Linked DNA regions of Drosophila melanogaster. The protein of the gene in region 2 purifies or fractionates together with the protein of the main gene of each other region. This does not show direct contact. Each region holds a gene or a part of one and is shown on either strand. Other genes may lie near its edges. The genes, in order: mip130, CTCF and Sgf11.

Evidence for each region.
Region 1: the proteins of CTCF (region 2) and mip130 purify together in Drosophila melanogaster (affinity purification with western blotting, with the first as the bait; one study listed by BioGRID). This does not show direct contact.
Region 3: the proteins of CTCF (region 2) and Sgf11 purify together in Drosophila melanogaster (affinity purification with western blotting; one study listed by BioGRID). This does not show direct contact.

The regions. Positions count from the first base shown.
Region 1 is NC_004354.4:1,906,478-1,910,234, forward strand, and holds the start of mip130 (Myb-interacting protein 130), read left to right. Parts: upstream 1-1,761; 5' UTR 1,762-1,875; coding exon 1,876-1,878; exon of another isoform or gene 1,879-2,350; intron 2,351-2,442; exon of another isoform or gene 2,443-2,973; intron 2,974-3,757. Other genes in the region: Edem1 (ER degradation enhancer, mannosidase alpha-like 1), read right to left, coding at 1-957, 1,018-1,142.
Region 2 is NT_037436.4:7,354,975-7,358,731, forward strand, and holds the start of CTCF (CTCF), read right to left. Parts: upstream 1,740-3,757; 5' UTR 1,607-1,739; exon of another isoform or gene 1,486-1,606; 5' UTR 1,484-1,485; coding exon 1,093-1,483; exon of another isoform or gene 1,032-1,092; coding exon 1-1,031. Other genes in the region: pst (pastrel), read right to left, coding at 2,564-3,401, 3,472-3,641, 3,717-3,757.
Region 3 is NT_037436.4:18,680,380-18,683,486, reverse strand, and holds Sgf11 (SAGA associated factor 11kDa), read left to right. Parts: upstream 1-1,650; 5' UTR 1,651-1,798; coding exon 1,799-2,389; 3' UTR 2,390-2,450; downstream 2,451-3,107. Other genes in the region: Chmp1 (charged multivesicular body protein 1), read left to right, coding at 1-268; CG32202 (uncharacterized protein), read right to left, coding at 724-1,048, 1,110-1,210.

The DNA.
Region 1 (3,757 bases), on a different chromosome or scaffold from region 2:
ATGTTATAAAACTCTGGCAGAAAGCCGTACTTCTTCCAGACCCCAATGTACCGTGATATGGTGCGCAAGGCCGGCTCCGTGTCGCCAATAATGCTCAGGATGCCGGGCCAAAACGCCTCCAGGGACTGAAAGACGGGAAGGGTGACGCGGCCTTTGTTCATGCCTACCCACACGTACCAGTCCTCCTTCCGCATGTACTTATCAATGGCCGCGCGAGCCTCATGGAATAACTCCAAGAGTTCTGGGCGATTGAGCAGGACAGATGCCTTAACTAGGTATTCAAAAAGGGAATCCACTCCTGCTCCGATACCAGAGTCGAGGGCGGTCCAACGACCGCTCTGCACGTCGATGTGATTGCCAAAAAGTCCAATGGGCGAGCGATATGCCCATAGAGCATGTACCGCCTTCATAGCAACATCCTCGTAGATGGTTTTCCCGGTCAACCGGCTAAGGGTACCAAATTCGATGAGGAATGTCCCCACGCCCGCCGTACAGGTTATAGAGGTCTCGCCCTTGGGCACGCCATAGCGCAGGTTCACCGTGCCATAAGGCATACCCGTGTTCGTGACGAAGGCTGGCAATAATCGTCGGGCCACATCCTCCGCCAGTCGCAGCAGAGGTCCCTTGCAGGGCCATCCTGGCTCTAGCTCTACGCCAGCACGCTTGGAGAGCAGATGCGCGGACAGCAGCCCGCCCACGATGCGGATGTTTGTCTCGAACACGGACACGTTGATGTCCCTGTCAAAATCCATCTTCTCCTCGAGCAGTCTTGCCGCGCGGCGGAATTCCGTGAAGTTGCCCATGGTGGCCAGCGTGTCCAGAGCGTCGATCAGTGTCAAGGAGTAGCTGCCCCAGGTGTCGTGGCCATCGCAGGTCAGCGGACGCAGTTCATCGTAGTTGGAGGCGTGGCGCAGGTAACCATCGTAGGCGTGCTGGAACATGCGCCGCACATCCTCCCTGCAGATTCATTGCCGGTTAGGATTAGTATGTCCGAGTTTAGCCCTAGCAATGACCCACCTCAGTTCCAACTTTCTTGCCTTGGAATACTGCTTCTGGCCGCTGACACCGGTGGACAGCAGGACGAGGAGGACCGCGCAGATGAGGGTGCCCGGATAGCCGTTGTTTCGGGGTTTTTGCTGCATCGTGGGACAGTCAATCAATCAGGGCCGCTAATTCAATTATGGGCATGGTCAGTGTTCCATAGCCAGCGTGGATGTGGGATGTGTGGAAGTCAAATGCGGCTACGTTGACGCAAAATCACAACAAGGGCTGATTCGGCGGTGGCATCGACCGCCGAATGCCCTACTAATTCCGTTCGGTGAGTGTTTTTTTATAGAGCGCTTAGAGTAGCAAACGGGGGAAAGAACACAAGCCAAAGAGCTTTTTTAAGGTAACAACCAAACACTATAGGCTAGCAAACACTGTATTCTCCGCCAATTCTGAAGTACGTTAATTTTACCCAACAAAATCCCTAGCAATAGGATATGTCATTCCGTAGGGTGCAATCAGCTGTTGCTGATCGAATAACTATCGAAAGGGTGGTCAGATCGAATTTGCATGGTGGTCATTGCTTGTTAAAGGAATACAACAGCTCAGAATAGCCGTAAAATCAGCGCGGCAATATTAAAGTCGGGTTGGAAAAATTAAATGGCAATTTCTTTAAGAATTCAAAAAGTTTGTGATGACAAATATACCGATTGTTTGTCACTGCTTTGCGCGGCACACGTTCCTTTATACTTTTATTCGCGTCGAGTTGGCAGCACATACCAGTTTTTTTTGTGGCCATTCAAAAGTGTGTGTTCGTACGGGTAAAAAGTGATTTAAATTCAAAATATTCAGCGAAACGACCGCCTCCAATAGAAGCAACTGTACCCTATGGTAAGTAACTGCCCTCTGCACCCGTTTCACACCCGGACATCCTCCGGATGAGCTGACCAAGAAATCCGCAGCCTTTGTTACGCTTCCGACTGCGAATTGCAGTTCTGGCGATGGGCAGCGATGTGTTTCGGTTTTGAATCATTCTCCGCGTAAAAAAAACTCAGAAAGAGGGTCGACTATAACCTCGCGGAGTAACTGCATCACGGCCCGTGTGCCTTTTGTACTCCGCGTAAGGCGATCGTTTAAATGCAATCGCGTATGCTTAATTGTCCGTTGGGCGAAAAGTAACAACATTGTGGGTCTATACATGCGGGATTGCCTCTGGCTGACCAGAAACCACATTGAAACCATCCCGTTGACCGTAGATATAAGCGTGTGCCATTTGGGATCTGGAAATCGTGTTTCCACCCAGTTGTTTGCATATTTATAAACAATTAAAGAAAAATATTAAATTTTTTGGTCAGGGCTGTCGCCCCTCGCATGGCATCGATAGAAGAGCGTCCGGAGCTGCGGTTGCAACCCTATCCGCTCACGCAAATCTATCGAAAAATTTTACTCCACGGTCGATTTTCGTTGCTTTTTTTTCACACTCGTGTAAAAAAAAAGGAAATAGCTAAGTAAATCGAAAGTACAGTGCAGTGTTTTGATCCCGTGGAGTGCATGTTCCAGCGGAAAGTGTGTGCAACAAATATGAGCAGTTCGCAAAAGTGGCGAGCAAAAGCAATAACAAAGTAGCAACAGCAACGCAACGTGTGTGTGTTGTAAGCAATCTGTACAGCGGAAAGGTGTTGGTGTGTTGGTGTGCTCGGGGGGTGGTGTGCGTTTCGCCCGTCCCGTGTCCATAAATTAGAATCAAATCGAATCGAAATCGACATTGAAGTCCGCTGCTCCGCCACCGCGATGTCCGTCGACCAGGATCAATAAGCAGCGTCACCACCAGTAGCGGACCATCATTAAGTTCTCCATATCGAGAGCAGGCTGACTCGGAATCGAACTCGGATTCGGAATTGGAATTGGAATTGGCATCGGAATCGGAATCCATAGCGGAGGAATCACGCGCGGCAGCCAGCCCAATACGGAAAACTGCTGAAAAATGTTAGATAAATGCCCAGTTATCTACAATTATTATGGCTTGTCCCTGTGTGCGTGTCCAGGTGTGAGGGTGTGTGTGTTTGTGTGCGATAGCAGAAGCAAAATCCGCTCAAATTGCGATGCCAAATAGTCGGCCAATTAATTGATCTTTCAATTGGCGACATCAGGCGCCCTCCCATATACCCAGCTCCGCACGAAACCCGATATATATCCGCGGATTGAGTCTCTGCTTTTGCCGCACATATGTATTGTATAACCCTTGTTTATCTTTGGACAATCCGAGGTGGAGTGGAGTACAGTGGAGGCTGGCCAAGTTGGACACATGTGCCGATAAGGTGGCGTGTGCTGGAACGAGTGTCCCCTGTAATGCGGTCTTATCTGAAGAGCTTTGCAGGTCACTCCGACTGACAAATTCACCTGCAAGCTAGGAGGGGAAAGCCCTGTGAAGAACTCTCTAACACGATAAAGTCATATTCCTGATTGATACAACTATAACACACAGAAATCACTATCAGACCAGAGAACCAGCTCGCAAGACCCAAGACTGTAGCTATACCAAATAATCTATCCATAAAAATAGGAAGTTCTTATCTTATCACATACTCTAGGTAAAGATTTAAGATGGATCTCTATAAATACTTTTGAATTTACAACCCAATTTGTTATGCTTCTCCTGTAAGTGGCCCAAAAATCGTCAGTTAAGCATATGAAAAGTCTCGACAATGTGGCTGCACTTTGTTCCTTTAATTGTTCTTATATTGTTTACAAATTGCATAAGCTGTAAATG
Region 2 (3,757 bases):
GCAAGTCGTCGGGCAGTAGTTGCACTGAAAGACGGGCTTGTCGACCACGCTGTGGATGAGCTTGTGGGCCTTTAGTGAGTTAGATTGCGTAAATCGCGACTTGCAGATGTCGCATTGGTACTTCTTCTCGCCGGTGTGGATAACCATGTGTCGCTTCAGCTTGAACATGTCCTGCGATGCGTAGGTGCAGTGCGGACATTGATATGGTCTCTCGCCCGTATGGCAGGTCATGTGGCGGCGCAGTTTGGTCAGTTCCACGCTGGCGTATGTGCACTCCGTGCACTTGTGCGGTTTTTCCTTAGTGTGCTTGTAGCGAGTGTGACGGACCAGCTCGCCGCTGGTGGTGAAGGCGCTTTCGCAGAGCTTGCACTTGTGCGGCTTATTGCCCATGTGCGTGTTTATGTGGTTTTGCAGGCCCACGTTCGATCGAAAGGACCTCTCGCAGATGGAGCACTTGAAGGATGGCTCGACGTCATGACTTCGTGAGTGGCGCGTGATCAGAAACTTCTTGCTCGCCGTATACGGGCAGTGTGGGCATGAGTACTTATGTCCCGATGCATTCGAATTCTGGCTGGTAGAAGAAGCTGTCTTCAGCTTCACCTCCTTGTTGCTTAGCACAAAGTCTACGTCCTTCTTGTCGGCATTCTCATCCTCTGTCGTCGCATTGTCCTCAAATTCGTAGACCTCAGCCTCGTTTGGCGTCAGCGTAGCTGTTGCTGCCTCTACGGCAGCTTCGTCTACGGTATAGTCCGACAATTCTGTCACCATTGAACTGATGTCGGGCTCATCTACCAGCTCCTCGAGCTCCCGCTCCAAGTCCATGGGTTCAGGCTTCGGTATGACAGGGTTCTTTCTAGGCCTGCCCCTGGGTGCCGGTACTTTGACCACTAATGCCGGTGGCGGTGGCATCGCCGATTGCTTCGCCTTGGCTGCAGCTGCTCGGGCTGGTCGAACGCTAATTGCCTTGGGTTCTGGGGGAGGCTTCGAAGTAGTCGCTTTCGGTGTCGATTTGGCTGGCCGCAAATTGATGGCTTAAAAAGAGTCGAGCAAGTGATACAAATGCACGCACATATATGGCAAAGGGTAACTCACATTTATTGGTGGCTGTACTGACCACGGAACGTGTAGCTTTCCCCGGCTTGGCAGCCGCCTGTTTGAGCTTCTTTTGTAGCTCCTTTTGCTTCTTGGGCGTAGTCTTGATATAGCAGTTGCCCTCGTCATCTATGAAATACTTATCCTCGTCGTCCTCCTCCTCCTCCTCCGCTTCCTCCGCATGATCCAAATCAGCCTCCGCCTCCTCCATCGGTTTCGATCCACCAGCCTCCGCACCATTTTCATCCAAGTCGATGGCCTCGGCGCTGATGGCCTCCAAAATCGTGTTTACCACCTTCTCATCGCTGTTGCCTTCGATCTCCTTATGGAAATTGTTGAGGAAGGTCTGCAGATCCTCGGGGTCCTCGTCCTTTTTTGTCCTCCTTGGCATTCCTATGGACAAATTGGATTTGTTTTGGTGGCGACCCACAGCGGATGACCGGGATCCCGAAGAGGGCGCTTATCGATTTCTCGCAACGACCAATTGTAATCCCGCTTGATTCAATTCACCTACCGACACTTGGTTGCCAATAAAAAATATGTTGAAAGGGACGCCGGTTGTCGTTATTGTTGTTAAATCTACAATTTAATTTGCGTCCACATGAAACAGCTGCCCATTTCTAATAAAAGATGGCGACATGTAGCATCAGTACCGCCAGCTATCGATAGTTCGATTGGTTTCGTATCTTGTCATCTCTATATAAACTATCTTTAATTCTTGATAACAGAAAATATATAATAACGAATCCACGGTAATTTATTAGATAAAAAATATAATCTGTATTCTTTTGGATACTGGATAAGCCAAGGATTTGGGCTGCGTAAGCGGTTTTGATGTCGCGAAAGCCCCTGCGGATGTTTATGTCTGTTGGATTGGGTGCCCTCTTGAGTGGATGGATCGCTCATGGGTACTGATCAGCCGAGAACTTGAGCTGCGTTAGCGGTTTTGACCCTTTGGTGGGAATAACGGATTCGGCAGCAGATGTTAATGGTTACATTAGGGCAGGCTGGATTTGTTATTGTCACCAGAATTGGGGTTGTTCTTATGGGATACTTGAATTTATGACTTATATTCTAAGGCATTCAATGATTTGGTGGTATGGCTGTTGCTATTATACCATAGTATAGATGACATCAGATTGTAAATTTAGGAATTACTCTTAAAGATTAAAAAAAATCCCCTTTACACAATGAATGATTCACATATTCTGTGTTCGAAAACCGGAAATCAGAACCATTCCGGTTCAAAATTCTCCTTTTATTACAATTATTTCAACAGGGTTAATAAAATCTTTATTTAAATGCTAAAACAATTTCATCTTTGTCAATTTGTGCTCATATTAAGTAAGTTATCCCATTGATTATTTGCGGAACTAGCTAACGTTTCTTTGTGGTTAAACAATTGGGCATCAATTATGACATGCTGATGGCCCTTGAATTCTAATGTTAAACGAACCATTTCGTTAAACACTTACAAGGGACAAACGCTGAAGTGGCCGATACATTTCGGACACTTCTGAAGGAGACCCGGGAACGCATTTGGATTCAGGGACATGAAGTACACCCTTACGGCTTCTACGATCTCACAAGTGTGATCCGCAATAACCGAAAGTTGCACGTCCTCGAAGTTCCGTAAAATGTACAACAAAATGCGGTAAAGAACGGATTCCGTTGATATAAAGAACTTTAGCACCGAGGTGAGGTCTTCCAGCATGGTGTCCATGAAGGCTCTGGTCAATAGCATTATATGGTCAAAGACTTTTGGATCAAGCTTATTGGCCATGATGTTGATTAGGCTCTCAAAACTTTCAGCATTGATCACGTGCTCAAATATGATTTTTCCGTATTTCTCCAGTACGAAAACAACACCGCCCACCAACACAGAGCTTAGCTCCAAGGCGAACACGCCGGCGGCATAGGTACTGGGTTCCTGTCGAGGATGGGATGTGGGCAGCGGTCCGATTAGACGGGAAACCTGATTAACGCCGCCCAGTTGAAGGCGACCAGAACCCGCATGGCTACCGGGAATGGGCTGACTAACTTTGCCTAGGACATTCCCTCCTTGGTTATGTTGTACACTAGCTCGCAATTCCGCACCCGTCGTCTGCACATCGCCATTTAGTAAAAATCCTTTGCCATCGGGTGCGAATGAGTATCGCACGCCCTCCTGATTCAAGTTTTTGTTGATCTTAAAAAGATCATTAAACTCTTGTGGCGAAATTTCGTTTACGTTGCGTATAATGTCCAGTTTGCCGCGAGTGTTGCCTTGCATCCGAACGGTCTCCTTGGCAGCCTTGTCAAAGGTTCGCCTGATGGTAAAAAAAATACAAGTAGAAACTCTTGTTTACGACAGAATGTATCTCATTGAACGTTTTTTACCGCTGCCTATTAGAAAGGTTTTTACGATAGTCGGCAATATTAGCATTGCTTGTCTCATTAATTATGGTCGAAGCCAATTTAAAGTTGTAGACGCTGTGCGTGAGCAGCACCAACGAAGCGGACAATTGCAAAACATCCATCGCAACTATTTCGTCACCGTCTTTTGCTTTCTGTGGAAGATCATAAATTTCATAAGTTTAATCTATCTAGCCTAATCTAATCACAGTCTAAGTTTCGAGACTTGCCAATATCAGATCCAGCACACCATTGGCAACTCCAGTGCCCG
Region 3 (3,107 bases), about 11 Mb from region 2:
CCTGATGGAGAAGTTTGAATCGCAGTTCGAAGACCTGGACGTCCAGAGCTCGGTAATGGAGGGCACCATGTCCGACACGGTAACCACCTCGGTGCCTCAGGGAGATGTCGACAATCTGCTCCAGCAAGTGGCCGACGAGGCTGGCCTCGAACTCAACATGGAGCTGCCCAGCGGAGTTCAGAGCCAATCCGTTGGAGCCTCGACAGCAGTGTCCCAAGAGCAAGACGAGCTCACCCAGCGACTGGCACGTCTCCGCCAGGCTGAATAAAAATAGCGACGCCCTGCCCGTTGAATTTCTGTTTTAGCAATTAAGTACATTCAAAATATAAATAAGTATAAACTCAGTGATTGGAAGTCTATCGATGCTGCTTTGTCTACCATAATCAGAAGAATTGCCATGAATCTTTAAGTGTAAGTGTGCTGTTTGTATAGGCTTCAAACGGATTATGATTTACATGCTTTTCTAATGCAATATACGATAATCATGTTTTAAAGGCTTTGTTGTTATAGTTATTTGAAGACCTGCCAATTTTTGTAACTTGTTTACTTGGAAAGATATAGCATAATTTGGAAATAGAAATGGTTCTGCAGCAATCACAACTTTCATTGCTTTGGTTACTATAATTCATTTCTGGTCTTAGCTTTTATTTGTCTTAATATTATATTTAAAAGTATACAAGCCCTTTATCTTAAAACTAGAACACGCCAAGCAATCGCTATGACTCAGGTCAACAGTGGAGGTTGAGGTTGTTGATGCGGTGGTGCAATGACTGGATTGGGATTGATGGGTGCCTGTTTGGCTTTTTGCTTTCGGGGTTTCCGGGCAGCTGGAGTATTGGGTCCAGGCTCAGACCCGGGTGCTCCTGTTTCATCCGCCGCCTGCTTGTTTTTGGGCTTCGGTCCTCGACGCTTCTGCTCGGTTTTCCCTTTGGGATGTGGAGCCTCCATGGGAACGGATCGCCAGTCGTCTCCGTGCTTATCTAGTCGCCGTTTTAGAAGCTCCACGTCATGATTGCGCCTTCTTACTATCTTTTTGATCCCATTTACTCTGGATAAAAGGTACTGCACATTTTTGTTTACGTTTCGTGGAGCATAAAAATGACGGTTACCTCATCACACATCGCTCATTTTCCGCCTGAATCCTTTGGCACCTGTCATACAGTTTTTCCACCAGCTGTTTGTACATGAGTTCTTTCTTATTTAGCAACATTTTATACAGATATTGGTTATAGTTCAATATTTAGAAATGTTTTTATTTACGCCATGGCTCAGTGTGGCCAGATGGGCGATTTTCTTCTTGCTCCGTCTGTCGGTACAGGCGTTGCCACGTCATATTTATTCAAAAAAGGACTAGTTCACTTATTGAACTAAATTTAGCAAAAGTGCATAAAAACTGCTTGACATAATTGTCTTTAATTTAAGATTTAACTGGTCATAATAATTACTTTACATACTCGTTTTATGAAATGACAAAACCTGATGCATTTAAAATTATAAGTTAATGAAAATATAAACTATTTAAATTGGTTAATAATATAAATTTTATAATTTGCTATAACGGTTAAAGCTGTTACTTTTAGATGCAACTATTTAAATTGAATATCTAGTTCCTTAAAACTATTTACCCCTATTTGCACCAGCCTGGCAACTCTCTCATTTTGCAAACAGCCGTGTTAAGCAAACCCACAATTAGTAACTTATGTAGTTCCACAACAACAACCGGCATGCCAAACAAATCTTCCAGAGCAGACAGGAAGACAGCCAGAAGCAAATAGATATAGTGTTTGCGCCAACTATTATGTCTGCAGCCAACATGCCGACGACAACAGGAGCTCAGGGATCGGGAAACCAAGTTCCCACAACTAGCACTACGATTGTAAACCACTTCCGGGAGTTGATCAAGGAACCGAAGAACCTCGACGAGGCGGCCAACTATCTGTACCAGTCGCTGCTCGACGACGCCGTAGTCGGAATCTTTAACGAGACACATCATCTGCGAAAGTCAGGGAATCTGGCCGCCCTGGACGGAGTGCCGGAGGACTCAACCTATCGAATGTGCGAGATGCCCAACCTGGACATATTCGGCATCTCAACGGCCAAAAAGCCAATGGACTGCACCTGCCCCAACTGTGATCGCCTGGTGGCCGCCGCCCGCTTCGCCCCGCACCTGGAAAAGTGCATGGGCATGGGTCGTATCTCGTCGCGAATTGCCTCTCGTCGCTTGGCCACCAAAGAGGGCGCCACATCCGCCCACCTGCACTCTTCGGGAAATACCGGAGGCACTGATGATGAGGATGACGTGGACTGGTCGTCCGACAAGCGTCGAAAGAAATCAAACCAGAACTCAAGGAACAACGGCTCCAAGAAGAACAATGGCAAAACCTTTTAGTCAGAGCTAACAATCATTTTCGTAGTTTATTCTGCCATAAAAGTACACCTTTAAATCAGTCACCAATGTATTCTAAACTAATGGGATTTTGGTGATCGACCCCTACTCTTCTTTGAGATCATTTGAATAGGACAGCAGTTAGTGGCAATATCTAATCAATTAATATCTAGATATCATAGGACAAGGGTAATATAACTTTTCAGCAAATAGGCGCTTTTAAACATAGACTTTCCTGGTGCTAAATGAAGTAATTCAATGTAATAATATGAAAGCAAGCCTTAGTTTTATATTTTACAACTTAAAGAGTATATATTTTGGTTATTTTCCTTCCTTATCAATGGCAAACACCCGGATATGGTCGACCACTAGGGGTGTCCAGTCCGAATTTCTAGACAACTCCTCGAATTGTTTGTCAGTTTTGGGGTGGGTGTTTAAAAAGGGCTTGTGTTTCATTTCTAGAATGTCGTCATTGAAATTAACATTGCCGCCGGCGGTTAGGCCAAGGACTAGATGGCACTAAAAACGAAAGATCATAGAGATATTACATCTTTTAGAGGAAGGCGTCTTACCTCATGTTTTCGAAATGGTTCAAGAAGTGTCGGATTGTTTACTGCTCCGAAGAACTCGCCATCGAACTTAAAGATAATTTTGTCAGTCTGCCAGATAATAGTCGTGAAATCCGTCCCCATAGTAAATTTCCCCTGGCGTACAAGCGAAT